Neurospora crassa OR74A: one gene and its partners. The protein of the gene in region 2 purifies or fractionates together with the protein of the main gene of each other region. This does not show direct contact. Links are inferred from orthologs where the notes say so. Each region holds a gene or a part of one and is shown on either strand. Other genes may lie near its edges. The genes, in order: cyt-26, qcr7 and cox-4.

Region 1 (10,214 bases), on a different chromosome or scaffold from region 2:
CATGTTCCTGACTGTTGTTACAAGTATTGGGTTCTAATTGAACTCCGGTTGCGTTTCGTTTGTCAAGGAAGTCGACATTTTGAGACCTGGGAATTCAATAAGCCAGTCAAGATATAAATGTTGATACCCTGCATTCGTTGTGCACAGTCAGTTATGGGGTTGAGGCACAAACATGTACTTACCTTGCAAGAGCGCGCACCCCGGTGCCCAAGCTCCGAAACCCGGGCCGAGTGGGTCCCCCGCCAAGTGTCGAAGGCCACCTGCATTTGGCTTCGTCACCCGAGCTTGCCCGGGGCATACACTACTATGTAGGTACCTCTATGGTCCATCCTACGGTTGACGATATCACAGGCATAGCTGTGTTCCCTTTACTTCGGAGGCTGAGAACGATCAAGGCCAACCACATGCATGCGAACCGCCGGTTGCTCTTGCATGGAACTTTTTTTGCCGCCCAGAATCCTTCCATATTCCTTCCACAACTGTTCCATGATGACGGACCATCCACTGCATGGGCCCGGCCAATTGTCTCTCTGCAAGAGGATGGAGGATCACCATTTCGTGAGCATAAGCCATTGTAAGGAATATTGTGAACATGGTCTCTCTATGTCACTCGCCCTTGAACGAGAGCTCACCGTTCGGGGGTTTGCCGCTGGTTCACAGAAGAGGAAGCGGTTGGATATGGATTGCTCCGTGTCTGACTCTTGCATCGTCTTTGCCCTGTTGGAGCTACTACACTACTTCCAGTAGTGTACCAATGCCCATGTCTGTGCTTTGATTTATTGCATACGGATACTCGGGTGTCTCTCTTTACCACGTACTCACACCTTGATGCCCTCATCCTCCATTTCTCTCGTCGTTTCTCTTTTCCTTTTTTTTAAAAAAAAATTTAAAAAGGAGACTCTGTTGACGTAGCACACGACTTCCATGACGGAATTACCTCCAGACTTTTTGTGTCGATAGCTTGAACTTTTTTTGGTTCCTCAATCGGCCTTTCTCTTGCTTTGACCCCATCACGGAGCTGGCCCACAATGGATAGGGCGTTCCAAGGTACGGCGACCCTTAGCGCTGCCAACAGTCTTGGGTACCGCTACTTGCGCCCCGCCTCACCAGCACCGCATTTGCATTAGGATCCTCTCCAACCACGAGTATCAGATACCTCTTGAGAGGAGTGTGGTGTCATTGCAGGCTCCTGGTTGCCCCTCCTACAAATTTTAAGGTTCCGTACCCAACATGCACTGGACTGGACGGGAGCTGTCAAGTCCCTTTGCCGCCACCACGGCAGCGCCGAGAAAGGAAAATAAGTTCTTCCCCCACAAACCTGGCTTGTTCCGTCCTTTGACTCATAACGAATATTTGTTTCAAAATCATTTAGTTAAAAGTCGAAGGGTCCTCTTTAGTTCCCGCTCTCATCTACTGTTTTGCACATAGCTTGTTCCACGGCACATAGAAGTCACAAGTCCTCAACATGTCGGTACGTCATGTCCACTTAGACAGAGCCCCACGCCTACCAATGTTGTGTTTAGAGGTTGGATTGACTCACATGTCGAATCTTTAAGCAACATTTCTACATTGAGAACCGCAACGTCGGCAATCAGGCCGAAAGCGAGGATTGGCGCAGTAAGTTTCAATCTCTTTGATTCAGATGTGGAATATCTGCAATTCATTACGCTCGGAGCTCCCTGCTTACTGTTAATCCTTAATCCAGTTCGCGGCTACAACCCGCTGACCCCTCCCGACCTGCTCCAACATGAGATCCCCCAGACCGCTGAATCGAAACAAACCGTCATCAATGGCCGCAAGGAGGTGGTCGCCGTTGTCAATGGCACCGACGAGAAGGAAAGGTTACTAGTAGTCATCGGTCCCTGCTCCATCCACGATCCCAATGCCGCCCTCGAATACTGCGATCTACTACTCAAGGAGAAGGAGAAGCACAAGGATGAGCTGTTGATTGTCATGCGATCCTACCTCGAAAAGCCCCGGACGACCGTTGGCTGGAAGGGCCTGATCAACGACCCCGATATCGACAACAGCTTCCAGATCAACAAGGGCTTGCGCCTGAGCAGACAGTTGTTCGTTGACCTCACCTCCAAGGGCATGCCCCTCGCCAGCGAGATGTTGGATACCATCAGCCCGCAATTCCTTGCCGATCTGTTGAGTGTCGGCGCTGTCGGTGCTCGCACCACCGAAAGCCAGCTCCACCGCGAGTTGGCCAGTGGCCTCAGTTTCCCCGTAGGCTTCAAGAACGGCACTGACGGTACCCTGGGTGTTGCCATTGATGCTATTGGCGCTGTCAGACATCCCCATCACTTTTTGTCCGTCACCAAGCCCGGTGTCGTTGCCATCGTCGGAACTGTTGGCAACGAGGACTGCTTCGTCATCCTCCGTGGCGGTACCAAGGGCACCAACTACGATGCGAAGAGCATCGCTGAGGCCAAGGCTGCGCTGGAGAAGAGCGGCTTGCGCCAGCGCCTGATGATTGACTGCAGCCACGGCAACTCGAATAAGAACCACAAGAACCAGCCCAAGGTCGCTGCCGAAATTGCGCAACAACTTGAGAACGGCGAAACTGGTATCATGGGCGTCATGATTGAGAGCAACATCAACGAGGGCAAGTCTTTTTATTTTGTTTATTTTTTTTATTGGGGGCATATGACCGTCTAAATTTGAAGCTGTTCGCTAACACAACGTACAGGTAACCAGAAGGTGCCCGAGGAAGGCAAGTGCGGCCTCAAGTACGGTGTCAGTATCACTGATGCTTGTATTGGCTGGGAGGACACTGTCGCCACTCTCGACACGCTTGCGCAGGCCGTCAAAAAGAGGAGAGAAGTCCTGAGCAAGAACGCCGCTGCCTAAGTCATGCCAATTCCTGGTCTTGTTTGCTTTATGGTTTATGGGTCATTTGATAGGGGTTCACGAACCCTAAGTGAGGGATGCCGAATATATGCTGGCGCGGGGATGGGAACACAAAAGCTGACATTTCTGCATGTGGTGTGTTTTGATAAAGAGCGTGTATTAATGCATCTTGGGAAATGGCCGTCGAGACAATAGAAGATGGTAAAAGATGGAGCGGGTCTGGATCTCAAAACGAAACAATTACCTTGGATTTCTTTCGATGATAATCTCTAGGATCGTCCATGTTCGACTACAGTTTTGCGTTGCCTTTTTTTTTGGGGATGCAATTGTGGTGATGTGTTGGTGTGAAGCGTGATAGCCGTGGTGACCAAATCTGAGCTTCACCTGCGATTACGGGGCCACGGCATAGGTATGTATGTGTGGTGTATAGCTTCAAACCTGGCTTTCCTTGGCAGCTTTTCCTCGGCTAGGTCCGGTCACGCTGGGTCGCCGTGTGAGCTGAAAAGACAGAAGGGGCGGACCGCGGGCAGCGAGAGCTTGGACATTTATGATTTCCATGGGGCGATGCTGGCTGATGCTGATGCTGATACTGATGCTGATCCTGATCCTGATGCCCAGCTCCCAGCTGTGCCCAGTTGGATTAGTCGCTTGTGAAACTTCCACTTGCAGGTCGGGATTGGGCTCGCTGAGGTGTCTACCTTACTGAGCAAGGTAGTCTCAAAAAGCGCTGAGGCCCGCGGGCAGAATGAGGTAAATTAGTGCGGAAAATCCATCGGCCGGGGCCGAGGGGAAGTGTAAAAGCTCGAAAGGCTGCACGGTGATTGGCCCAGCCAATCAGATGGCGAGTGTTCCTAAGATTCCCGAAATTCAAGAAACCTACGGTCCTACCTACGACGCTACGTGAAGGGAATCGACCGACCTTGCACCTGGACGGACCTGCTCGACCTCCCGCCCGCCAGACCTGATACTGTCACCGACATTGCCAACCCAATTGGCCTTGTCCCCCGAACCCGCGATACTTTCCTAAAGCTTCGCTCAGCTTGCCCACCATGCTGGCGAGGACCTGCCTGCGCTCGACGCGCACCTTTGCCAGCGCGAAAAATGGCGCCTTCAAATTTGCCAAGGTTCGTCTCGATTGCTTCGACAACTCTTTCGTCCTCGTCTCTCTGCCCCTCCAAACAACAGATCTCGGCCGCATCGCCACTCGAATGGCTGGGTCTGGGCCGGCTTGAGCTACCGTCAACCTACTGCGAGCTCCCGGTCCGGGGCCCAGTTGCCCGACCATCCCCGCCCCGGCCGAGCCATCCTGTCTTGTCTCCTTCACACTCTCGCGCTCCTCGAGGAAAGCTAACGGACGTGCCCGGCAGCGTTCGGCTTCCACCCAGAGCTCCGGCGCCGCTGCCGAGTCTCCCCTCCGCCTGAACATTGCTGCCGCCGCTGCCACCGCCGTCGCCGCCGGCTCGATCGCCTGGTACTACCATCTCTATGGATTCGCTTCCGCCATGACTCCGGCTGAGGAAGGGTGAGTCCCCTACGATCGATCCGACCATCCGCCCCGCTCTAGCCGCTGGACCGAGGTCTGCCTCATGGGTTCTGAGGCATATACGACCGAGCTCGACTATAGGCATGAATCTGGGCATGGAGTGACTCGAAGCTTACCGTTGACGCAGTCTCCATGCTACCAAGTACCCCTGGGTCCACGAACAGTGGCTCAAGACCTTTGATCACCAAGCGTAAGCAACCACTCCTATCCAGCCCATTCGAGGCCGCGCCTCCAATCCAAAATGACTATCTGGCTCACGACTTTGTTTTTGCCCGACTGCAGTCTTCGCAGAGGTTTCCAGGTGTACCGTGAGGTCTGCGCCTCGTGCCACTCTCTCAGCAGAGTCCCCTACCGCGCTCTTGTCGGCACCATCTTGACCGTCGATGAGGCCAAGGCTCTTGCCGAAGAGAACGAGTACGACACCGAGCCCAACGACCAGGGCGAGATCGAGAAGCGCCCCGGCAAGCTTTCCGACTACCTCCCCGATCCCTACAAGAACGATGAGGCCGCCCGTTTCGCCAACAACGGTGCCCTTCCTCCCGATCTCAGCTTGATCGTCAAGGCCCGCCACGGTGGCTGCGACTACATCTTCTCCCTCCTTACCGGCTATCCCGATGAGCCTCCCGCTGGCGCTTCCGTTGGCGCCGGCCTTAACTTCAACCCCTACTTCCCCGGTACCGGTATCGCCATGGCCCGTGTCCTCTACGACGGCCTCGTCGACTACGAGGATGGCACCCCCGCCTCCACCTCCCAGATGGCCAAGGATGTTGTTGAGTTCCTCAACTGGGCTGCTGAGCCCGAGATGGACGACCGCAAGCGCATGGGTATGAAGGTTCTGGTTGTCACCTCTGTGCTCTTCGCCTTGAGCGTCTATGTTAAGCGTTACAAGTGGGCTTGGCTCAAGTCGAGGAAGATCGTCTACGATCCCCCCAAGGAGTCCACCACCCGCCACTAATTTAGCATTGCCACAACAAAGGGCAAAGTCATGACATTCACACAATAACCGTTGTGAGACGTGCGTGATTTTCCTTGTCTTTTTCTGTGTATGTATCATATACTATTGCTGCCCAAATTTTGCTCCCCCATGTTCCTCTTGCGCATCGGTCAGAAAGAGCAAAACGAAAAGGAATGGGCAGGGGCGGGATCGGTAACTCTGGGCAATGCGGAGATGTGCGGGCGTGTGGGTTGAACATGAAGATGGTCGTAGAGTGTATAAATCAAATTTTCTGGTCTCAAATACAACATAGACGTTATTGCCTGTGTCTGACAGGGTATGATGGTATGGGTATGACGGTCAAGCTGAACTTGCATGTGAGTGGATCAGGATACGGATATTACGACATGGGCATTTGAACGGATGCCAAAGAGTAAAGGCCATTTCCCTGTCAGCTACATCATCATGTACGCCTTTAACTTCGAGAGTAGTTGAGATATAGTATGAGCTTCGAAAGCCTTGACATTTCTCGATTGGCAATCTCTCTTTCACCGAATCACGGTAAATGTCAGCACGAAGTGCCACAGAGGATGCCCCTGGCTTGGCATTTGATTTGCCTTCCAAACAAAGTCTTGGCCCCCTCCCCTCCCTTTTCGATTCACTCACTGACAAGCAACAACATCTTGACCCCAAACTCATCGTGAAGTTTTCAATCACATTTTGATTCTACGATTGCTGGACACCACATATGTAAATCCAAAACTCTCCATCCACTGACAACCAGCAAAATGTCATCATCAAAACTATCACCACCCCAATCACAGGCCTCTCGCCTCCCATATAACGATGTCATGTCACCAGACCTCGCCAATGACATCCTCAATGACTTCAACGTCGACTTCTCCTCTTCCTCTCAAGACCGAGACTACCTCGCCTCGCTGCTTACCTCGGGTTTCGCCCCACCAGTTGAAGTCCGCAAACTTTGGGAACCGAGTCTCATGCGTGGAATGGAAGAATGGGAAATGATGATGGATTGTGCCCATTCCTTGAGGGATCAAGCTTATCGGGTTCTGCGGCTGGAGCGAGAACAAGATCATGGTCAAAATCGCGTGATGGGTGATCCTGAGCTGTGTTTGTTGCCGTTTCTGGGGATGATCATGGCGGGGAGGAAGGAAGGGTGTTTGTTTGACGGGGATACTTGTGCTGGGAGTCTCTTGGGGAAGAGCACGGAAGGTGGGGGAGGAGAAAACTCATCGGCGCAAGTGGGAAGAGGTGGAGGCAAGAGGGTGAAGAAGACGACGGGTGTGATGGGGAGAGGTGTCTCGCGTTTTTGGGCGCAAGACGACCCGGCGAAAACGAGCAGACAAGTGACGAGGGGTCGGGGGGAGACCGGTGTTTCTGGCGCTGTCAGAAAAGCGATGAACGGCCACGAACCGATTAGTGAGCAAGGAAAGATGGCATTGCCGACTCGGGTGATGTCGGTTGTCCACCGCTCAGCTGGGCCTAGTCAGGGCGAAGGAGAATCGAAAGCGAAGAAATCCAGGTTGACCGATAAAACGAAGCTCAAACACTCGAAGTTTCCAGATGAACCAAGCTACGCCGACACCTGGAGTCCCCAACGTAGCCTTGCTTCACACTCGTCCCCTAACGAAAACCTCGATGTCGCCCTTGGCGATGTATCGGTAGCAGGCACATCGAGTTTTGACGAATGTGTTTTAGCAGCTAACGTGAGGATCACCGGAGAGCGCACTTACAAATCGCCCTTTTTCAGTGAACCACCGCCCTGGCCGATATCAACAAGCAAAGCCTCTCCTCCCAAGAGCAAGACCTCCACATCCAAGAGCAGATCCCCAACCAAGAAGTCCCGAAATCCACACCCACCCGGTATCTCTTGCCTCCCCATTGCTCCCATCTCAGCCTCGAGATTCGGATTAATTCAAGAAGAAGTAGCAGCCGACCCCTTCCGTCTGCTCATAGCCGTGACATTCCTGATTAAAGTCCGAGGTACAATGGCCATCCCTCTATTCCGCCAACTAATGGATCTTTTCCCTACTCCCGAGGCGCTCGCCAGTGCCGATCCCTCTGAGATCATCAATCTCATTCGCCCACTGGGGCTATCCGTCAACCGTTGCTCTGTCATACAGAAATATGCGCGGATGTTCATCGAGTGTCCACCGTGTAAAGAAAAGAGGTACGGAGTGAAGAATTATCCGAGACCTGGGGATGCGAGGGGTGTCAAGGTGGGACAGGAATTTACGGGCGAGCCGGATGACTTCCATATCGGAAAAGCGTCACAGGCAGAATTTGACGATGATGATGACAGGATCAACGCCATCAAATTCGCCAAAGAACATGCCATTGGATGCGCCTGGGAAATCGGCCATCTCACGCAGGGTCCATACGCTCTGGACTCGTGGCGGATATTTTGTCGGGATAAGCTACTCGGTCGGGCGGACGACTGGAAGGGGAAGGGTCGTCATCCGGAGTTTCAGCCGGAATGGATGCGGGTTCTGCCGCAAGATAAGGAGTTGAGAGCGTACTTGCGGTGGATGTGGTACGTGTTTTTGAATGCGTTCTCTTTTGCTCTGATCTTCTTTCCCAGGAAATCATTCATTGCTGACGAAATTTGGACAAACAGGATGCGTGAAGGATGGGAATGGGATCCTATAACCGGGGAGAGAGAGCCCCTCCGTGAGGAGATGCGGAAGGCAGTGGATGAGGGACGGGTTGTCTATGATGAGTGTGGTAGTTGGGTGATCTTTGGATGAAAAGAGCTGAGGGGATAGAAAGATGATGTTCCCTGAAACACTCTGTTTGTTCTGAGTTGCAGTGGTTGGCAAGCATTGGTGGACACAAAGTCCAAGCACGCCGCGAAATAGGTTCCATTCACTGTTGAGCCGGTTGTACCTTCCTCAGAATCACCTCTTGTCTGACGTGGGCCAGATGATGCGCACTTTTTCCAACATCCGGAAAGCACCTGCCCTGTCAGGGTCTGACTGACGATAGTGAAGCGACCCTCTTCCTCGCCTTTGGTTGAGTATAGTAGGTAGGTATCTACTACTCCCGCATCAAAGTTCCACATTTCAAGAGACATGATACGATTTTCGCAGACCACTACCGTTCCCAGAAACATCCAACGGTAACCCCTCATGGCTCGCATCACACACCTCGCCTCCTCGGCCGTTCGCGGCATTACCACCCTCACGTTGCTTACAAGAGGCTTCTTTTATGTCTTTGCGCAAAAGCAACCGAATGGAGGTTATGCCAAAGATTGCATCTTTACGGGCGCAAGTTTACGAGAGGGTCACTGGCTAGGGTGCAACTGTCTGAACGACGACGTTGCCATTTTCGGCTACAACTATACTTGGTGAGTCTTGTGACGTGTCAAAGTCATCAAGGTGCATGTGTGGTGTGTGGTTTTCGAAGATGCTCATAGCTTATTTTACCATAGGCTGGATCTGAACTTTTGCTTGGGAAACAGAAATGGCACCTTGGAGAGTTATGATACGTAAGACACCATCCAGTGATCTGATTAGGTACGCAGCTTTCCATCCAGACGATGATAACTGACTCGCTCTTGCCCTTTCAGCGGAAACTACACTACAACCTGCCGTGACTGCAGAATTCTCAACAACTACCGTACAATCTTCCTGAACTGTCTATGCCCGGACATGGCGCATGTGCTACACAACACCACGCTTGATCTGAGTAAGTTCAGGCCCCGCGGTAACGTATATCTGCTTGAAGTGTTTGTCTAGCTTCTAACCATATCACATTAGACACTACCCTGTACAATGTGGATGGATGTGCGGGTTGCTATAACCACATGGGAAACAAGTCATGGGATGGTCCCCCCCCCCCCCCCCCCCCCCCTTCATCTTCAAACCACACTCTGTCGTCAATCTCATCCTTTTGACTGCATGAAAACCTGGAAAAGTCCGTCCCATTGAAAGCGCGGCTCGTATGTCCCAAGGCTGTCGCTTAACTAATGCATCTTAAAAATTGATCCGTCGTCATGCCCAGTGTGTTCTTCGCAGGCGTATTCCTCACCACGACACATACATGCTATGTTTGAATCCACTGCTTCCTCTGTCCTATTATTCCATCTGCAGTCCAGACTTGACCTTTCTAATCCATCATGATTCGTACATCGAATTATTCAAGTGTCTCTCAGGCATGTCCAACTCGCTAGCTCCACCAGCAAAGGGCACTGGATCATCTCGAAACTCTTCGTAACACAAAGGCACCCTATTGTGGCTTGACAGACCAAAGCTCCCGAGACCAACCATGCTCCCTTATCTTCTTCGTCTCCTTAGAGATGGCCTTCTTTTCGCTCGCGAAGATAGCGAGCGCTTTACTACAAGAGGCATATGCTTCCACAAGCTCCTTTATCCTGCCAGATTTGACGAATTCCTGAGATACGGCTGAGGCTTTCTCAGCGACAACTGCAGCTAGCTCCATGCACTCGAGGAAGTAGTCGCGCGACAGGGTAGCGCCGGCAAAATGTAAAGAGCTAACGAGGGCCAGAACGGTTTCTGGGATGTAGGCCTCACGAAGAGCTTGGAAGTCGGGGTCGGCTAATACGAACACATGTTAGACGAAATTCCACCCAAGGATGGGAAATACGCTAGTGAGCTTACGCTGAATGGTTTCCAGCAACCACCCCTTAAGGACTGGTTGCATGTATGCTTTGGCCGCGCGGACTTCCTTGTTCGTATGCTGCCACAGTTCGCGGGAATTGGTGCTGTCCCTAATGCGATTCAGTTAGTCGTGAACGTCGACTCGTTGTGTCTGGAATTACTCACTCCCTGGCGAGACCTGCCAAAGAGGACAAAGTCTCCATCGAGTCCAAAGCCTTAACAAGGCACTCGAGCTCCCACATGT
Region 2 (9,747 bases):
CCGAACATGAAGAAGACAAGTCCAGTACGGGACGGACACTCTAGTCACAATAAGCCGTGACAGTCTTTTATGTGCATGTGACCAGGTAGGAAACACAGAGATGCGAAGTCCACTTGGTCTTTATGTCTTGGGAGAGAGATGTAAAAACATGATCAAAAGGCGTAATGGACACGAGGGGACACATAAGAGAAGTCAGTGGAGGTGTGATGGCAATTGTGTTCGGTCTAGTTTTGTTACTATACTATACACTCGTCATATACTTCAATTTAGTCACTGACTCTTCCTACCCCTTCCCTCGCAATGTTACTTGTCCGATTAATGCCTCCTATCCCGGTACTCTCGCTCTTGCTGTTGCTGATGCTGTTGCTGTTGATGATTTTGTTCGCGTGTGAGTTTCTATCAAGTGAGAATTAGCTTTCAACTTTTACTTCGAATAACTAACTGTCAAGCGACAGCAAAGGGAAGCACCACGGTGACACAATCCCAATATTATAGTTCGACTTGGTGTATGAAAGCCATACGTCCCAAGTAAAGTGTGATGGACTCGAGATGAATTAAGGAAAGAGGATGAAATGACTTACAGCATTAAGCTTCGCAGCCTGAATAGAATGCCTGGTATAGGCGAACAGGACCCAAGCCATTGTGAAAGCAGCCAGGGGCGCCATGACTGTCTGTCGTTGATTGATTGATTAATTGTGTAAGTGAGTGACTCGGAGTGCGAGCGAGTGTCTCGAGCGAGGTCGTCCGTCAGACATTGATTGGGTGGGTGAGGGCCGGGGACGAGCCAAACCTTTGGGTTGATGTTTCTTGATGTCTTCATTGTGACTTTTTGTCTGTAAATCAAGAACTGCGTAGGCAGGAACTGCAAGTCTTGAAGTTGGTGAGGCTGACTTGACGACTTTGAATTTTACGTGTTGTTGTAGATTGGGGATGGGATCAGAGATGGTGGTCTTGGTTGAATCGTTCGACGTCCGTTTCACTGCAACCATAGATATCGTACTATACTGTGTAAGACGGTTTACCGCCATGTAAGTGGACCGAGCGTCTTTCCCCCCTTTGATGGTTGGGAACCGATTAACGGGAACCTCCTTTTACGCGCTTAATATGATGAAGTAGAAGCATTATTTGGTAGCAAATTCATACAGAAGCCATTTCTCAAGTCTTGAACATGCCAGTGGTAAGTTGTGTGGGCAAGATCGTGGTCTAAACGCCGACATGACTCAATAGCCCGATGAAAACCCCAGACAGAAAGCCGCTTGATCAGGAAGCAGACATTTCAGCTGAAGCATGTTCAACATAAGACTATATATGCTCGCTATACCGGTATGCCAAATGTATACATGTATGAAGAATCCCGAGTACCTGTACCGCCCTTCCGGGGTATCGCAATGTGATCCTATCTTGCCCCCCTGCCCAGTCCCGTATCGCTTTTCCACTTTGCACGCGCTCCGTCGCTGTGTATGTGTGCGTCTGTGTCTGTATGTTCGCTCCACGCCATATATAAGCTACGTATATGAATATCCAACTTTCGAATCCTTGACCCACTCCAAACATGTGAACATCCCTCGATTCCATTGCACGTCTCTAGCTGCTGGTGCTGCTGGAGATCTCAGGCCTCTCGACGCTCTCAGCCTTCACAGCCGTAGCCTCGGCAACCTTGGCCAGCTTCTCCCTTCCATGCTTCCTCGCCTGCTTCAGGTTGTTCATCACGTACTCGTACGTGAGCATGGTGACAGTCGCCGCGGGGACGGCTCTCATCATGTTGGTTCCCATACCAGCGTAAAACGCCCTCCACCCTTCCTCCTTGAGCATGATCTTGAAGGTGCTCACCACGCCTCTGTACTTGGGCCCTGATGTTGCCAGCTGCTTTGACTCGGCGCCGTTCTTGGCAACCACTCCCAGACCCTGCAAGTGCTCCTGTCCCGGAATCGGCCTGCGCTGTGTCTGCAGTCTCGTCCTGATGACCTCGTGGGGATACGTCGCACTGCTGGCGATAATCTTGGAGAGGACGGAGGCGGCAAAAGTGCCCATAAAGCTTGGCTTGGCGTTCTGGTCGCCGGCGGCGCCGCCCATGCCTTGTCCAGTAAACTTGGTCTTGAGGAACTCGTAGGTGGGAAATTGGACGGCCACATGGGAGAGACCCAGAAGAGCAGGTGTCAATCCGGAGTAAAAGGAGAGAAGGCCCTCGGTGGTGTACATCTTGCGTGCGGCATCGAACGTGGACTTGTAGTGCCAATGGGAGTGCATCGAGGGGCGCGCGTCTTGAAATGCCGACTGCGACATGAGTCGGGTCTTGATGACCCATATCGGGTTCGTCGCAATGGTGCTACTAGCGCCGGCTATGATGGATGCGCCAAAGTTGATGGCAATTGGCTTGTCTGTCACATCTATGTTAGCCTTGAACGTCCCGTTCCGTACCAACACCAAAAGGAAGACATACCCGTGTATTGGCGTAGCCATATTTTGCTTTTGTTGTAGACTGTGAACCAGACAGCCCAGGTGGGCAAGTAGCCCATTATTATAGGACCCAAGCCCCTATACATGCCGCGAATGCCCTCATGCCTCCATATTACCTTGGCCGTGCCTACCAGGCCATTGTACATCCTGGGCTGGCCCACATGCTGTCCCGCGCCCTGCGCTTGCAACTTGGTCTTGATAACGTCCAGCGGGCAGGTGACCACGCCGGACATGAAGCCTCCCACTGCGCCGGCGAGCGCATTGAACTGCGAGTCCGAAGCATTCATTGCCCATCTTTCCAGGCCCGTTATCCGGTTGGGGTCCTCTTGCATTGGGTCGGCCGAGGCTGAGTCTATTATCTCCTCTGTTATGTCTTGCCCTGCTGCTGCTGTCTCCTCCAGCTCTTCGGTCACCGAGTTGGCGGGCGCAAAAGTGGCGGGTGGCCGGGCGCCTGGCAAGGAGCGCACGCCATATTCTGCTGCCGAACTCGCGGGATCTGGTCCAGAGTGGGAGATGTGGTGTTGGGTGTCTATAGTAGACATGCCGCTACCCTTCTCTCGACTCGAGTCGGAACTGGGACTGGGCAATCGAGACGCGGGGATCGAGACGAGATGGTGCGTCTTTGTTCGAGGGGTCTCTGCTGGTCGCAACTCAGAGACCCCGGAGTAATCGGTGACCCGTGATGCCGCCGTAGTGTCGGAAAGAGGGTGGTGATCTCGGCTTGTTGGAGCTTTGGAGTCTTGAGAGGGTGGTGTTGATCAGGAAGCTGACGTTCCCGGCTTGAACGGCGTACTAGCGCGGGTGCGGGGAAGAAAGAGGTTCGCTTGGGGGGGACTGAGTCGAAGACCGAGGTGTTGATAACAGGAGTTCACCAAATATCACCGTTCGTCCGTGAGGCTCGGGGCAGCCGGGTTTTTGCGTAGGAGAGAAAGAGGCCCTGGCGCGGATCGTATTTTGGGAACTTGTTGGATTTTTCGCAATTGGTGAGCGAGCACACGAGCAGGCTCGCTACCGTACCTGTCTTTGGTAGAGGAGCTAGTATGCAGGTGAGTGGAATGAAGGAAAGGATGGGCGAATGTGGGGGAAGTCCCGTTTTCCAAAGACAGGGTTTCTTGGCAAAGAGATGGACGATAGTACAAAGTGCAGTGGAAAGAAGCTACACGACTCTTTTCGACCAAGAGGTACAACAGGAACCTTTTTGTGTGCGAATGCCAGACGGAGGCCGAGGACGGATGGTGATGTTGGTGTGTAGATAGGTTGGTTCTTGTTAAGGAAACTACGTAGTTATCTACAGAAACGAACAGCCAACGCCAATGACGGCGGGACGCGGATGCCAATTATGGTTACCAATTATGTCACCTTACTGCAGTGATTGTCCATACCTACCTACCTGCCCGTGACTCCCGTAGGCAGTGAGTGGATGAACAGCAATTCCGGATGCGCTGGGAGCTGCCTCGAATTTCCTTCCCCTCCGAGTCATGAAGACACCAGAAGCAAGTGTTGGTCTAGGGGCCAGAAAGTAGGTGTCCAGATAATCATGTGTTTGTCCAGGTCTCTCAAGTCTCGGGAGTTTTAGACTTCAGACCAAAGACCCCCAGTATGGCCCGTTTTTAACCTTCCCCCAGACAAGAGATGATAGCTATCAGTCGAGATTCCGTTTCACTGCAGCGAAACAGCGCCAGCGGTCACCACCGTCGCCCGCCAAAAAAGCGGCTGCCCTGGTCGTCGTCTCCAATTCTAGACCCACCGCGGCCCATAACATCGACCTCATCTCTGCCTTGGCATTTGGACCGACAGCTCCATGGTAACCCAAACCCTTGCCAAGAAAACAAATTCCCTATTCTCGTAGAGCCTGAGCTTTGAGGCATCAGCCACTTGGACACGGCTTTTCCCGGAGCGACGGGAGACGGGAGACAGTCTAAGAAAAACGCACGGAGCACCCGGAGCTTCTTTCTGAGTGTTCTAGTTGGACAGTGCGCTTCTACTACTGGCTGAAATGGCTGGCTGACTTTCGCGGGTTTGCTGATTTGCGGGTCGCGGCAATTTGTTAGCTCTCTCCGCCCTCCATCTTGAATCTTGACCTTGGTGTTTCCCAAGTGCGTAGAGACCAGACGACAAGAGAGTGTAGACTCCTCACCACCTCGCCTACCTATCACCGACTATCAACCGCCACCCCGGTCGACAATCATCCATCAATCACCATGTCTGCCCCTTCTCTCGTCCAGGCCGTCGCTAAGCGTGGCTGGTTGAACAAGATGCTCAAGCCCGTCTCCAACTGGTACATCAATGCCGCCGGCTACCGTCAGATGGGTCTCCGGTGAGTTTTTGTTGTTTCTTTTATATACCTCGATGGCCAGCAGTCCGGCCCGGGACCCTTGTGACGTAGGCTCTACCTGTATCGAAACCATCGCCCTTCTATGTGTTACGTCTATCCATCTGTCTCTCCTCGGCCCGGTTCTACCTCAATGGCTCGCGCCCCAGCCGCAGTTCCCTCCCTCCCTTCCACATCCCCGAGCAGGAGGACCAACACCCACCCACCCACCCACCTACCTATCTAACTACCTACCACTCACTATACCATATACAACCGACCAACAACCCATAAACTAACCCACCCTTCCTCCCCAAAAACAGCGCCGACGACCTCATCTCCGAGGAGAACGAGACCGTCCTCGCCGCCCTCCAGCGCCTTAGCCCCAAGGAGTCGTACGACCGCATCTACCGCATCCGCCGCGCCACCCAGCTCTCCCTCACCCACAAGCTCCTGCCCAAGAACGAGTGGACCACCCAGGAGGAGGACGTCCCCTACCTCCGCCCCCTGATCGACCAGATCGAGGCCGAGGCCGCCGAGAAGGACGCTCTCGACACCCTGGCTGTCGTCAAGAACTAAGCGCGGGACTTATAAAGGTATGAAAGGGGAAGGAAGGAAGGATGGGAAAGGATGGGAGGGAAGGTTTTTCCGTTATCCGCGCGCGGTGGGAACTGGACTGGCCGACTTTTTTTTTCGACGGGAACGAAGGAACCGAAGAGAAGGGAAAGGCTGGAGTACTGCTACGCTACGCTTAGGATTTGGAAGCCGAGGATACCAAAGCAATAAAGTGGATGCGCTCAAAATAAGAACCGAAACAAAAACTCGTCCCCTCGATTCTCTGGAACCTGGAACTCTTCGACAACTTGCTGCCAATTGCTTTCTGGAGAAATAGGATGAAGGGGGGGAAAAGGTGGATGGGGGAAGATGGACAGTTTGCGATGCAACGACAATGGGCAACAGCCAAATGTTCTTGTCTATGGTTGTGTTCACGCTCCCAGAACCCGCGCATCTCTATGAAGTGGAAGTGGAAGGGGAAAATGCTTTGAGAGGAGATGGTGACGACTGCGAAAGAAAAGACTACCTAACCATTTCTACTTATTAGAAGGAAAGAAAATGGGCAATAGACCTTTATCCTGCATTCTTCCCCCCCCCCCAAAACAACAAGACAACTGAAAGAGAGAAAGAAAAGAAAGGGGAGGGAAGGAAGTGTCTCAGACATGGTAGCCATCGAAATCGACCTCTGCTATGCTGTACGTTGAAGAAGTGTATGTGAGAGTCATGACAAGTTAGATCAAAAAGTAATAAGAAAAAAAAAAAAAAACTCCGCTCAATTCGCAAATACTCTCATTGTCTCTGTGTCCCAAAGAGCCTAGAACTAAGTAGTAGCAGAGGTACGCAACCATGGGAAGAAGTGAGACAATAACCTACGGGAGTGATGGCGGCCATACTGTAGCTGCCTGTCATATCAGATGGCTGCCTACTTTTTAGAGAGCCCTTGTCCAAAGATACCGCCGAAGAAACATTCCTCTTCTCCGAGACTAGGAAATTTATGGCCCAAACCTGCTCTATTTCAGGTGGCTGACGAGGACCCGAGTTTGTGCCGCTCACAACCTTGGTGGCAGTTAGCACCACTCAAAAGTTGTGATCTTGTTCATCGTGTGTACTCAGAAAAAAAAAAAAAAAAAAAAAAAAAAAAAAAAAAAAAAAAAAAAAAAAGGAGTATCACACATGTTTGGGATCAGGCAGCGTTGAAGACTCCAGTATTTTTTTCTTTCGTTTCTGGACGTTGAAGGCACAATTGTGTAAGCCCGCATAATCATGCTGAGGATACACACAGACTTCTTTCTTCTCTCGGTTCCAATGGGCATCATACCAAAATGGCGGCGGGCATATTGTGTTGCGAAAACTGAAAGTGACAACTTAGTTCTCCTTTCGGTGGGTGATATGTGTGATATCTGATGTGTACCAGTCCACCCGACAACAGAGCAGACAGTGTACATACTCTCATTACTACGTTAACTAAAGCTGACCACGTCGAAGCTGAAAAAGAGAAAAAAGAGTAAGCTATCCTACAACAGAAGAAAGAAAAATAGAAAGAAAGAAAACACTACCCGCACACCTAGAGGTAAACAAAACCCCCCTTTTTCTATCATGAAGCAATGACTGTCTGCCTGTAAACAAAAAGGTACACAGAGAAGTTGTGTAAACAGGAAAACAAGTATAGTATATTATGTCTTAACTTCATTCTCTTCTTTCTCTCTCCGTTTTTTTCCCGTTCGGGGAAACCCAAACCGCCAGCCAACTAACTGTCCAACCAAACCGGGGCAACCAAGAACTCGCTGAGAAGAGGGGGAAAAAAAGACGTCCGCTATAAGCTGGCTGTCCTCTCCTCTTATCTCTTCGGGGCACACCTTTCTAAAGCAAAGCTCGAGCCTTCAACACAACTTTTTGCTTTATCCATTCATGATGTATACACATGTCCTTCTCTCATCGCTTTTTGAGCCGATAACTCATCATCCTCGTCCTCCTCTTTACATACGTTAACCAAAATGTTTTATTGACTGATTTTGTTATGACCCTTCCTGTATACGTTACTTCGTCTGTTGTGTGCGTTTCCGCTCATTAAGGTGTGGTAGCTGTTACCGGCTATCGGACGTTGACGTCAACCTGGGGTTGCCGCGTTCGAGCGAGGCGGGGACGGCGGGCGGGCTTTGTGGGAGGGGGCTGTCGGTTGGAGAGCCGGATGGAGTAGTGTGACTGGAAGTTATTTGTAAAACGAAGAGAAAAATATCCGAGCCGTCCCGCCGTAAACCCCATAACGCCGGTTTGTCACCACGCTGATGGCGAAGAATTCGATGAATCTTGGTATGTGTGTGTCGTGGGCTTTCGTACAGTATGTAAAGATCGTGTTTCCCCTTCGCCGCCGCGCGATTTTTATCGGGTGTGTGCAGACAGGATGTTGATGCAAAGCGAATCCAGTTACAGACTCTTTATGCGTTACCACCCTTCTCCTCGGTGTCGATGTGCCAGACAACGTAGTTGGGAAGACCGATGACCTGGTAGCCGGCGCGCTTGGCCATCTTGGCGAAACCCTCGGTCTCGGCTTGGTTCTCGAAAGCGTAGCAGGGGAAGTTGATACCTATGGTTGTTAGCCGGATTTGTCCTCTCTCGAGCGCAGAAAGATGTTGACCTACCAGAACGGTGAACATCGGCCTTGACAAGAATGTTCACGCCACCAATACCGTCAAGCTCGATCTCGACGTCCTTGTCGTCGCGCCAGTCGCCCATTCTAGCCATGTAAGTGCGGCCGGTGTCGTACTCCTTGTAGCCTGTGAACAACTATGTTAGTCGGTGTCAACCCCCAGGGCCCTGTGGTATCTGCACACCTTCAGCGAGAACAACATCCTTGTCAAGGCTAGAAGCAAGTCTGCGACCCTTGTCGGACTCGACCCAAGAGTTGTAGTCGACTGTGAAGCGGTTAGCAATTTGAGAACTAAATCAAGCAACGGTCCAAAACTCACATCTACCCTCGATATCGCGGCCGTTCTGGTAGCGGTGGAACCAAATGTCTATCACATGTTAGCTTTATTGCCCCATGTGGGGACTATTACGGGAAGTTGTTCTTACTGGGAACAAGAATGTCCTTATCGTGGGCAATGAAATCCTCGAGGATCTTCTTGGGGCTGTCAACAATGTCCACGTCCCTCCAGTAAACCCAGGAGTGCTCGGGCTTCAGGGCAGCAGAAAGGAGGTAGTTGCGCGCGCGACCCATGGCCTTGCGACGAGGACCCTGGGCAGCGAACGAGTGGCGCTCCTCAACATTCTGGCTCAGCTTAAAGTCGAAATCCTTCTCGACAACCATGGCGCTGTGGAAGGGGATCTGGTCGGGGCGCTTCTGGATGCGATCCAGCTCGGAAGCCAGGACAGCAAGAGTGTCATCGGTAGAGTCGCTGACGAGGAAGGCAAGATCGATGAGGTGGTGAGGGTAGGTAAGCTCGGCGATCAGCTCGAAGTACTTGGAGAGATACCTGGAGGCATCCTTGAGAGGGGTGAGGATCAGGATGCGCTCCTCGTTGGCGACGGCCTTGGTGGTGGACTTGACGGGGTTGAGGTCGACGTGGCTGATGGTGGACGAGTTAATTTCTAGCGGGGCGTGGTGGTTGAAGATAACAGGAGTATGGAGGTGGGCATTCCAAGCTTGTTGCTCATTGAGCGTCATCTCCATTGGCGGTTTTGAGGGACCCCAACAATAGAAACTGAAAGGCAGACGCAAACATTAGCACACCGATGGCGGAAGTAATGGACAGAACAGCACATGGGATGGCACCAACCTTTGCATCTCGGAGGCGCCTGTGCTGATGCCGCGCCATAGTAATAGCACCACTCCTGTTACGGCAACGAGGAGGAGGAATCGTGTCTTTGTGAGGATAGCCCATAGTGCCCTTGCGGGAGGAAGCTGTGCTCTCGCAGCCTTCCAGCTGACGCCGCCTTTGGGGAGAAGCATTATGAAGAAACGGGGTGGCCCACGGCACCACCCGCTGAACGGTCGAGGAGGATATTAAGTCTAAAAATTGGAGACGGGAGCAGTCTATGTAGCTGCCGGCTAGGTGGACGACGCGATGCGCAGCGGCGGCAATGGTGCGGAGGAAGTGTTGCGACGTGAAGAGCGGCTGAGGTATGCGGTATCGCCGGGTGTAGCAGCAAAGGAACGATTCGCGTGGGAAGTCGTGTGGCGTCGTGGAGAGATTACGGGGTGTCGGTTGGGTGGAAAAGCCCACGTCTCCTGAAGCAGCAGCAGAGCGAAGGCGGTATCTCTGAGAAGAAGGATCCTACAAGCGAATGTAGCAATGGCTCTCTCGTCGGCGTCGTCGTCGTCGTCGTCGCCGTCGTCAAGAAAGTGTACAAGATAGAAGCAAACAAAGTAACACCGACGCGGTTGAGTCCGCGTATTGTGATGTGTGGTCGGGGTCGGAACTCTC
Region 3 (10,298 bases), on a different chromosome or scaffold from region 2:
TAATACGGATCAAAGACAGTGAGTGTGGGTGAGGAGAAAAACTTTCTGTTCAGTTCAGGAAGCCAGATGATCTGTCGGTGGGAGAAGGTAAAAGTTGGGCGTGTGAAACAATGAAAAGCTTGTAAAAGATGATATGATGGTGGTGGTGGTGGTGGTGGTGATGGTGTATGTGTGTGTTTGTATGCCAGTTTTCGGAAAGGTCCGATGGGGTTGACTAGGTAGGTATGTATACGGTCCCTTGTTGAGGCGAAAACAAAAGCTGGCAGGGCTGGAACGATTCAAGGTAGGTACCATGACACAAGTTCCGATTTCTGTCCAATGTTCAGTCGCAGTAGTGTATGTTCGGTAGGGTACAGGGTAGGTAAGAAATGCGCAAGTGGCGTCTTTAAAAAATTGAGAAGGGGGGAAGGGAAGAAGAAAAGCTCAAAGGTTCATTTGATTTGTCGAAAACCTTGCAAGTCGCAAGTCGCCCAAAAAATGGTTGAGTCCAAAAGATGATTGGATCACCCGAGGGCTCAGGTGATGGGAAAGCTTCGTATGTTTGTTGTGTAGCTCTACCATAGCAGGCTGGCCAGCAGGACGAAACAGACAAATGGTAACAAGGTTAAACTTTCTTCCCCTTGGTGAGAGAGGGGTAGCACTCGAATGAGGCGATCAGGTGAGACAGCGTAGGAAGGGGAGGGGGACATGAGCTGACCCAGCAGGATGGAAAGACCAGATTCCACGAAGCCTGAATCAGGAATTGATGGTTATGAAGACCAACCTCCATGGAGCATCTTGGTCGCATCAATTGTTAATCCCTATGGCGGTGAAGCTAGCAATTAGACTAATTAACAGACCAACAGCCCTAGCTACTACCTTCCGAGCAATTGGAAGAGACACGAACGAGATGGTAGCACGACATGGGCACCGGCACGATGGAAAAAAGCTGTGGGAAGAGCCGGGGTGCAGGAAGCTATGCAGCTTTTGGGTGTGGTTCAGTTTGCAAGCTGAATGGTTAGAAGCACGCAAAGGAATGACGGGCTAGAGCCGACACGGAAACAAGAAGAGATTGAGTGGTGTCGGGAAAGTCTTTTCTGCGCAGTAGTCTACGCGGACAGTACCGAATGGCGTCTGATTGGTGCGTATAAAGGCTGTCGGAAAGGGGACGACGGGACGGGCTGAGTCGACACCTAGCCGGGGAGAGGAAAAATTTGAGAGAGGGAGTTTGGTTGTTTGGGCGACTGACTGACTGGCTGTGGTTGCTGTCGGTTGTCGCCGTTGGTCAGTCAGGAGGGCAAGGGCAACCAAGCAACACGCAAGTGACTTGGGCTTGTACAGTCAGCAAAAGTGTGATGCAGGCAGGCAGGCAGGCAGGCAGGTGCCACGGGTTCTAGACAATGTTACATGCTGGAAGAGTTGCGGTCGATGCCACCCAAGAGTCTGGGGTAAAATGTAGGTACCTTCCTGTCCAAACCAGAAGAGAGACCTGACATCAGGTACTTACTTGGTTGTCTTTCGAGGTCCGACAGCCTTTCTTCGTCTCGGCTTTACGCTTTTGGCTGTCTGGGGTTTCACCTCTCCAGTTCTGGTGATGGTTTCTACCAGTAGGTCCTTGACGAACTTGTGTCCTACCCATCTGCCAAGTGCCAAGACTCATTATTGCCCTCCTGAGGTTGTTTGAAGGTCGTTCATCATGTCGCCCTATACAACACATTGCAGTGTACTACCAAAAGTTCCAAGTACGACATGAACCCTCTCCTGGGTTTGCACCTTCTTCGGATAGATGAAGATGAGGGAGTATCATCGACCCAAACCTTGATCACGGGGCCTCGCAACATTGGCTGATTGCTCCTTCCCTCGGTGCCCAAATTGGTAGGATGGCCATCGTTCATGACTCTCATTGGTGTTCGGGTTCCAATGTGACTGACCATTTCCAGTCAGTGAGGACCTCAGCTGCAGAGATTGCTCAGCCTTTTGGAGTCTGATTCCTCCCTCTTGCAGTAACCCTGTCGCCTGAAAAGTCCGGGGATGATCTCCAGCGCCATGCACCCATTTCGAAGATGTCGCCCTCTCCCCTTCAAACACTCGGTTACACGAGACTATTCCGTCCAGTAGACGCTACAATTTGGGATGATTGGCCATCGGTTTGTGTCAGCCATTGCTCCTTTCATAAGCAAGGAAATCGGCGGCCTGTTGAATCAACTCATTTTCCAGTGCATCGTCGGTTCTTCATCATGATGAATGCTTTAACGGGCAAGGTGACCCCGAGACACTGACAATGAGCCAAGTACCGAGAGGCAGTCTTGCCATTGACATAATCCTCAAAACGAAAAGCCGTTTAAAAGCGAGTCCTCGGACAGGGTGAAGACCCCGAGCCATTTGCGCCCCAGCCGCGGAACCAACTCCGCCCGAGGAGATCTACTCAGATTACCCCGGACTGATCAGCCTTGGTTTATTGGGTACCATTCAGAATGTATGCCTAAAGACAAAGCAGGAGCCCGATCCTATGGTCGGGTGGCTAGAACAGAGGTAGGTATGGTTCGTGGAATATTCCAAGACTTAAGCCCCTGTCTCACCATTCCATATCGCATGTTTCTCGACACCCACCTCATCCTCATCCAGTCAGGGGTATGCAAGCCATCCAGCACCATCGCCGGTTTTAGTATCGACCACGTGAGTGACATCCAAGACCCTGAAAACCGCTCAACTGAAGCAAACGACAGTAACTGCATGACGGGCTCCCCGCATACCCCAGTTGCCCAACTTCCAAAATGGGAAACAAAAAACGGGGTGCATCGTCTGTGCCTCAACAGGGCGAGAACCATGGGACAGGACTCTGGGGTTTGGGGATGGTGGTGTTCGGGAGGTGGGAATTTTCCGCCACTAGGAGGTGGTATCATGTAGGTAAGAATCTTACTTAGTGGGTAGGAGGCAGAGAGAGGAGTACGTAGCTGTAGGGCGTGGTCATGTGCTTAACAAGACGTCCTGTGTGTTTCCATGTCTTGAGCCTCCATGTTGAACAAGGTAAAATACGAGTGTTGTGTAAGCTCCCAGGCGTCCCAAACTCCGAACCCGACTCTCATATGCGAAATTTCACTGCCATGCATGCCTCCACCTCTTCCACAACCACCCAGCCCCTACAACTTCAGATACCACTTTCCTTTCTGCTCCTCCTTCTCAAGGAGCGGGTGGAGGTGAGAGGGGAGGGAGTTGACAAAGGACCGGTGGCGGTTACCGGCTGTGGTGAAGAAGCTGTGGATCGTTTGTTGTGTTGTGTTCTCGTTCGTGAGTTAGTTGGATAAGATAACTTGCACACTTCCGGAATGGTGCCGCTCCAACTTGCACAGGGCGCCGATCCGGGGATCCACTATCGGACACGGAAGCCGGATTGGGCCCGGTAGTTTGAAGCTGGAAAGCCCGAGTTCCGTTTGACGGGGTGGAGCATTGTCGATGTTTGATTGGGGCTTGGAGGGTTAGGGTCACGCCAGTCAAACCTGCAATAGCTTCATCAAGACCTTCTTCCTTCTGCTCCCAGTTAGCTCAATCATTATATAATCTATGCCGTACCCAAGTCAATTGAAACCTAGGATTGCTTCACACAGTCTCTTGCCATGTATTCATCACGCAATTGTCGCTTCACTTCATGGTACAGTACTGATGATATGAGCGGTCCCACGTGCTGCATCACCTGACCGTGCGCTAGCTGCTTCTGGCAACCAGCTGGGGAAGCTTTCCAGAATGTGGTCCAAGCGCCTCCATTCGTACCAAACAACCGCCCGTTCGCCAGTTGCCAGCGGCAGAAGGGAAGGGCAGCACGGTCGGGGCCTCTGTCCACTGCAGTGGTGCCCAGCTCAGCTGTGGGACCCACGGCAGTGTGGGCAAACCAGCTTCGGATTCGGACAGACAGCGACAAAACATCATCTCCCGCCTCTCCGCTCTCTCCCGGTCAATTCTGTCACTCCGACATCACACCATCCACCACCACCCACCCGCCGCCGTCGCCAACATGCTCCTGTCCCGCACCGCCGTCGCCGTCGCCCGCCGGGCCACCGCTGCCCCCGCTCTCCGTCGCAGCATCGCCACCACCGTTGTGCGCTGTAAGTGAACATTGGAAACGTCTCTTGGTTTTTAGCGGCTGCGGCCTGAAAAAAAGCACGGCATCCAAAAAAGCTCCAATCGCGAAGCTGCAAATATCCGCGCATAAGCATCATCACCACCACCACCACCAACGACGACGACATCATGACCCCACCACCACCTCGAACCAATTCGCGACAACCAAACGCGCATCAATCACAAACCCCCGAATCCCGATCGCAAAACTGACACCATGTTTTTATCTTGATTCCAGGCAACGCCGAGACCAAGCCTGTCCCCCACATCAAGCGTCTCTCCGGTATGATGATCTCCCCCCGCCGGCGATTGCGTCACCATTGTGTCTATTGGGGTTGCTGGAGAACTGGGCTACGCGAACTGGAAGCTGTGGTGGGTCTTTCGAAGCTCGAGCTGAGCTTAGTCAAGCTTGGGGGAGCTTGATGAAACAACAAGAAGAAGGAGGAGGAAAGCATTGGACGACCACAAAAAGGAGGGGGTTATTATCATTGCGCGGACGAACCGGAGAAGAAGCTCCTCGACCAGCTCAAGCTTGAGGCTCCCCTATCTACCACAGCTTCCACCGGCCGGGTAGCTCAGTTCAGCCCAGCTTCCCTATAGCCTCCACTCGCTCCATGACGATGCGGGGTGACGGACGAAACCGCATACGACGAAAAAACATACATGACTGACATATATACCTTTCGCGACAAACAGAGATCAAGACCAAGGATGACCTCTTCGGCCCCGGTGCCGCCCCCGGCACTGTCCCCACCGATCTCGAGCAGGCCACCGGTCTCGAGCGTCTCGAAATTCTCGGCAAGATGGAGGGCGTCGACGTTTTCGACATGAAGCCCCTTGATGCCTCCCGCAGGGGTAAGACTTGCTGTAATAACCTGGGTTGAGAGGAGCTGGGGGGTTGACAGTTGAAAAATAGGCACCATGGAGAACCCCATCTCCGTCCGCTCCGCCGGTGATGAGCAGTACGCCGGTTGCACTGGCTTCCCTGCCGACTCCCACAACGTCATCTGGCTCACCGTGAGTTTTTTCTCTTCTCTGTTTCTTCTACCGCTCAAATTGAGTATTCTAACCAAAAAATAGATGACCCGCGAGCGCCCCGTCGAGCGCTGCCCCGAGTGCGGCAACGTCTACAAGATGGACTACGTCGGTCCCCAGGACGACCACGCCCACGACCACGGCCACGACCACCACGGCTTCGAGGAGCCCAAGACCTTTGCCGACTACGTCAAGCCCGAGTACTGGTAAATTACCCAGTTGTGGGGTTTGCAAAGGGAGGTTTGAGGTTTTTGTGTAGTGGGTTGTTAATAGAAGAAGACATTGACAAATACGATGCATGCATATGACACAAGTTTACTGGGAGGCAAGCACTGTGAATGCGAACCTGGAGAACACGGGGGTGATGATGAGGCTGGGTAGGTGGTTGTTACCTCATTGGACTTGCATTCGGGAACCTAGAGCTGTAGATTTCTACCTAGAACCCTGGGGCCAAATAAATACTGAACATGGAATTGTATATACCATCGAGAAGCTCGAAAGAGGTTGGATTGGCGTGACAGTATCTAGATTCAGGATTGCTACTAGGGCTGTTTGCTCAGAGTGCATTCGCAGAATCATCTAGACTCGACCTTCTCTGCGGTACCGAGCAACAAGACTCGAGACCATCCAAGATAGCTTCTTCTGCCTGGCACTGAGTCAGAGCACCGCAGGATCGGGAACGACGTTCTGGCACAGCTCCCTATTGCTTTTCTCCGGACAGCTCTTGGGTAGTACTCCAGGCATAACGGCATAGACAAACTCGGACTTTGCATCCCTCGTCATCCGCAAGCTTGTCACCAGGTCGCGCATCTTGCGCCCTTCCACTTGCTATTGGGACATGCGCCGGCCGACGTGGTTGTTAGCCTTGAACACACACCTTCCTCTCGGCATGCCCCCCTTTTTTTTCTCCCGTCGGTGTTTATGTACTTCCAGCGCCCAAGCCCGATAACGACGGCATCTCAACCCTCCTCATCACCATCACCAAAGCTAAGCTTGATTTTCTTAGCCTTCTTCATGGCCGTCTTGGGCTTTGGTTTCTCCCCTGCCTGTTCCGTTTTTCCGCTTTGGTCTTTGGCATCTGTACCCTCAGCCTTTGCCTTTGGCTCCTTAGCATCCCCATCTTGCTCTTGATCAGAGTCATCATCGCCAGCAATGACCTTCCCTACCTTTCTCTTCTTCTTACTCGCTCCTATTCCCACTCCTTTCTCCTCCTTTGCCATCTTGTTATTCCCTTCTTTACTCCCCTCCCCATGTTTGTTTCTGTCCCCCCCTTCCCCTTCTCTCCCTTCTTGTTTTCCCTCCCCATCTTTCCCATCTTTTCCCCCCTCCCCCTCTTTCCCATCTTTTCCCCCCTCCCCCTCTTCCCCCTCTTGTCCCTGTCCCTCCCCCTCTGTGGTCCCCTCACCCTCCACCTTCGAACCAGACTCCATCACCCTCCCATCCTTCCCCACAGACACTCCATCAACCACATTCCCCTGTTCGTCCAAAACAAGCGGCGCGTCCTCCGCCTCCTCACTTCCACTCCTCGCTTTCTTCGTCGGTCGTCTCCGCGCAGCCAGGATCGGATCGGGACCGTCAAAGTTCCCGGGGGCATGTTGAGCATGCAACCGAGCGAGAAAGGGAGGGAGGGTAGCGGAGCGGTCGTAGTGGAGGTTTTTGGGGTTGAATTTCCCTCCTCCTGCGGAGCCGCCTCCGGAGCCACTGCCGGGACCAGCAGACATGTTGCGTTGAGGAGCGTATGTAGGTGTTGTTGAATGGGTTGGTGGGTGGTTGGTTGGATGCTTGAGTAGGTAGGTAGGTACCCAGGTACAGGCCAGGTAAGGTAGGGTTTGGTGATGATGGTCTGTCTGCTCGGGTAGGGAGCAACTCGATGGCCTTCTCGTAAAGCTAAGTAAATCGTTGTGGCTTCTTCGAGGAGATGGATGGATGTTTGCGCGTGGATGCGCCAGGTGGTTGTCGCGTTGCGATAGGTACTGTTCGATGGATGGATGGAAGTGGGCGCGCGCTACACTGTAGTTCAGTAGTAGAAGCGGTCGATGGGTTCCGGTTCTTAGTAGCTGAGTGCGGTACTAGGCTAGCGTCGCACAAAACCAGATCGAGGAGATCAATACCTTGGTATGATACCAAAAATCGGATAGTAGTTTGAATGGAGGGAAATTATTTTGGATTGTCGATGGTCACAGGGAGCCTGCGACTGGAATGAATTATCCTGGAGACGGGACCTCGATGGTCTGGTCTGGTTTGGTCCAATGGTGGGAATGGACCCGCTCAACCACTACATAGAAGCTTAGGCCAATGGCCTTGAAAATGCGGGGCCATCTCAGCCGTTACTGTATGTAGTGCAACCTCCGGGGAAGCTTACAACGTCACATCGCCAATATGAACTTCAACACACTCATGAGGGGACCAATCAAGAATAGATTCCAACCAAAAGAAAGCCTGTCTTTTATACCAGATCAATTTCCCGTCCCTATCGAATTAATCTCAGATATATCCTTTGCTGCCTTCTGTGTCCTCCATGCCCTAAACCTTTCTCCAGATCAACCTCATGTTGCTGAACCTCTTCACTCCAACATGTACGGCGATGAAACAATCTCGGTCATGAAACGGCGCATATGTAATGGGCAAACAAACTCTGGCGAGGTTCCATAGATTTATCTATAAGTATGTCTAAGGAATAGCTTGGAATGATATGCCCCGGCTGCTTCATGGCTTGCCCCGTTCATATGCTGCATTGTCCAGGCCAGGAAGCTTTCTTCCTCGACAGACGGGACAGCGTAAGCCCCTACTCTAACGATGCCGAAATCTTCAAGGGTGGAGAAGTCAAAGAACTCAGTTCAATGCATCATTCTATCCCCTTTTTCTTTTTTTTCTTTTTTGCTCTGTGCCCACTCATCGCCTTATCCTCACCATCACCAGAACCATCTTTCCTCAATGGGACTGAGATCCAAACCCCAAACTTTCATCCACGCCATTTCCGCCCTGATATCCGGCCATGTAGTAACTGTTTGTATTGCAGTACGGATACTCCTCGATCCCATCAAGATATGGCTGCAACACAGGAGAGTATGTGTTGTTCGTATTGCTTGTTTGTATACTATCATATCTGCCATAATTACCAGTATAGTTGTCGAGTCCGGAACCGAAGAGTACCTCACTCTGACCGCATGCTGGAGAGGGACCGGAATCAATGAGCTGTAGACCCGGCGAGATGGGATCATTGGTTGAAGACTGCCCTTGGCCATTCCTTGGAGAGGAGAGTGGAACAGGGGCAGTAACTGTGTTGTTAAAGGGATAAGCGGATGAAGCACCAAGGTCGCAGGTGTTATTTAGTGATGAAGCTGAGGTTGCGAGAGAGTTAATAGTACCACGGGAAGGCCCAACATGATTCCCTTGATAGTTATTAAATGACGACGATCCTGGCCTTGCGTCGGCGGTTAAGTGAACAGAACCCGCGGTGTGGGCACCTGAAAATTGTGTTAGGGAATCCAGCGCATACGCTGAACGCTGCTCAGTTGTCGTGTATGCTGCCACTGGTGAAATTTGACAGCCAAGAGTAGCGTTTAACATGTATGCAGAAAGAGCGGGAGAAGGAACGGTACTGGTAAAGAGCCCAGCCCGGTTGTCGCTCAAGTCAAGGGGCGGCATAGATGACACTGAGCTCTGTCTTAAACTTGCAGATAACTGATATTCACCTGGGTCGCTGATGGCCGTCGAGTATGGGGAGAAGTGTGTCTCAATCTGGCCATGATGCCTCGACGCGTAGGCCGCCATTGGAGCAGTGGGAGCACCTATTGTAGTGTTCAAGGAGTACGCCGAAGGCGCAGGAGAGGCATTAGTTGGGGTAAAACCGGTATCCCGATACTGGCTCCGGTTCGGATAGGACAAAGACAATGGCGAGCCTGGTCTTGCGGGTAGTTGATAATCCTCTCGCCGTATGTTGTCCCTGCGGTCCGACTGAGATAATTGGGCAATGACTTGAGGTTCCTCCATCCCCATGCCTGTTCTTTCGCCAGTTCTACTGGTGCTGGGACGATTCTTCAACCGGATTTTGGTGTCATCTGGCTCGGGTGTTCTGTAGGTGATACCTCTCGGGATTTCGACTACCAAGCATAAGCGATGGCCCCAAACGGAAGATAGGAAGTACCACCGTACCGTCTTGTAACTCTTCATCCGCGAACTCCCTGATTGTGTGACGGTTCTTAAACCGCGTGAACTTGCTATTGGGTATCTTCTGCCCATTCTCGTTGCAGAATATCGTTTTCTTTCCGTCCCTGAGCCGCTTTTGTTGCATCTTGAGCATGGATATCATTTCGCTGGTCTTGTAGTTTTTCTCGAATCCCCAGATCTTGAAGTAACGCTTGTATTTTTTGTCCCTGTGTGGCCATCACATGTTAGCTATCGGCCTGACATAAAAAGGCCTGACTTGGAAAGGAAATGTAACGTACGAAGCCAGCAAGTTATGGTCGCGTTTCATAATGTCAATAACTTGTGATAGGCTTTTGTTTTCCGTGATGTATAAGCGATAGATGGTGTCCCGGTGTTTGTCCAACTTGGACTGTCTCTCGGAAAGGTTTGACATTGTGAAACGACTTGGTGCAAGATGGAAAATGGTCTGGCGGGAGCCCAAAAATAGAACAGGAGGCTCCCGAGGCCTTTTTATACCGAGGACCTATTGAATGCCTGTGGAACGCATGACGACGGACGGAGGGGAGCAGGTGAGTGGTTATATACCTGAAGAGGTCACTCCTGTTGATGGGAAAATAGAGCCGCTCGACACCATGTTAAAGTCAACAAACGAAAAGTCTTTCTCGCCCTGACGATGAACCGTTAAAGACACGGGAACAGCATCAGCCCTAGACCGCCAAATGCATCGGCAGCGCTCCGAGGTATGAGGATCTTCAATGGATATGTGTGTAGATGCGCTTACATGTTGACTGGCAGAAAAGAGAGGAAAGGCTGACCAGGTACCATCAGGACCCTGCAGTTTCGAGGTACACTAGTACATTGTCATGATAGATGACCGGAACTTGATTCCATGATCTAGTTCCATCAGACTTGCAGTGGGTTTAGGATAGATAAGGCTTGAAACGTCCAAGACGTAGTATGGTTACTTTGAAGGAGATTCAGCTCAGCACTATGGTGAGAAGGGTCACGAACCGGTGTGC

Evidence for each region.
Region 1: the proteins of qcr7 (region 2) and cyt-26 purify together in Saccharomyces cerevisiae (affinity purification with mass spectrometry; 3 studies listed by BioGRID, with this or other methods). This does not show direct contact. The link is inferred for Neurospora crassa OR74A from reciprocal best matches to the Saccharomyces cerevisiae genes QCR7 and CYT1.
Region 3: the proteins of qcr7 (region 2) and cox-4 purify together in Saccharomyces cerevisiae (affinity purification with mass spectrometry; 4 studies listed by BioGRID, with this or other methods). This does not show direct contact. The link is inferred for Neurospora crassa OR74A from reciprocal best matches to the Saccharomyces cerevisiae genes QCR7 and COX4.

The regions. Positions count from the first base shown.
Region 1 is NC_026501.1:4,141,017-4,151,230, reverse strand, and holds cyt-26 (cytochrome-26), read left to right. Parts: upstream 1-3,668; 5' UTR 3,669-3,902; coding exon 3,903-3,977; intron 3,978-4,220; coding exon 4,221-4,375; intron 4,376-4,523; coding exon 4,524-4,586; intron 4,587-4,678; coding exon 4,679-5,351; 3' UTR 5,352-5,963; downstream 5,964-10,214. Other genes in the region: aro-7 (DAHP synthase), read left to right, coding at 1,466-1,471, 1,557-1,617, 1,706-2,608, 2,693-2,853; mbp3 (methylated-DNA-binding protein3), read left to right, coding at 6,119-7,884, 7,969-8,098; NCU16379 (hypothetical protein), read left to right, coding at 8,480-8,697, 8,782-8,838, 8,920-9,088; NCU09814 (hypothetical protein), read right to left, coding at 9,579-9,907, 9,971-10,080, 10,136-10,214. UniProt on the Saccharomyces cerevisiae protein: Component of the ubiquinol-cytochrome c oxidoreductase, a multisubunit transmembrane complex that is part of the mitochondrial electron transport chain which drives oxidative phosphorylation.
Region 2 is NC_026505.1:5,767,822-5,777,568, reverse strand, and holds qcr7 (ubiquinol-cytochrome c reductase complex protein), read left to right. Parts: upstream 1-4,393; 5' UTR 4,394-4,658; coding exon 4,659-4,774; intron 4,775-5,091; coding exon 5,092-5,347; 3' UTR 5,348-6,115; downstream 6,116-9,747. Other genes in the region: NCU08941 (calcium-binding mitochondrial carrier protein Aralar2), read right to left, coding at 1,585-2,378, 2,441-2,999; NCU08939 (mannan polymerase II complex ANP1 subunit), read right to left, coding at 7,759-7,907, 7,963-8,097, 8,155-8,235, 8,290-8,337, 8,396-9,024, 9,100-9,272. UniProt on the Saccharomyces cerevisiae protein: Component of the ubiquinol-cytochrome c oxidoreductase, a multisubunit transmembrane complex that is part of the mitochondrial electron transport chain which drives oxidative phosphorylation.
Region 3 is NC_026503.1:510,544-520,841, reverse strand, and holds cox-4 (cytochrome c oxidase polypeptide IV), read left to right. Parts: upstream 1-3,784; 5' UTR 3,785-3,988; coding exon 3,989-4,079; intron 4,080-4,333; coding exon 4,334-4,378; intron 4,379-4,791; coding exon 4,792-4,950; intron 4,951-5,011; coding exon 5,012-5,112; intron 5,113-5,175; coding exon 5,176-5,340; 3' UTR 5,341-6,089; coding exon of another isoform or gene 6,090-6,851; 3' UTR 6,852-7,045; downstream 7,046-10,298. Other genes in the region: NCU16615 (hypothetical protein), read right to left, coding at 2,487-2,807; NCU05688 (hypothetical protein), read right to left, coding at 6,090-6,851; NCU05687 (hypothetical protein), read right to left, coding at 8,062-9,233, 9,286-9,506, 9,579-9,712. UniProt on the Saccharomyces cerevisiae protein: Component of the cytochrome c oxidase, the last enzyme in the mitochondrial electron transport chain which drives oxidative phosphorylation.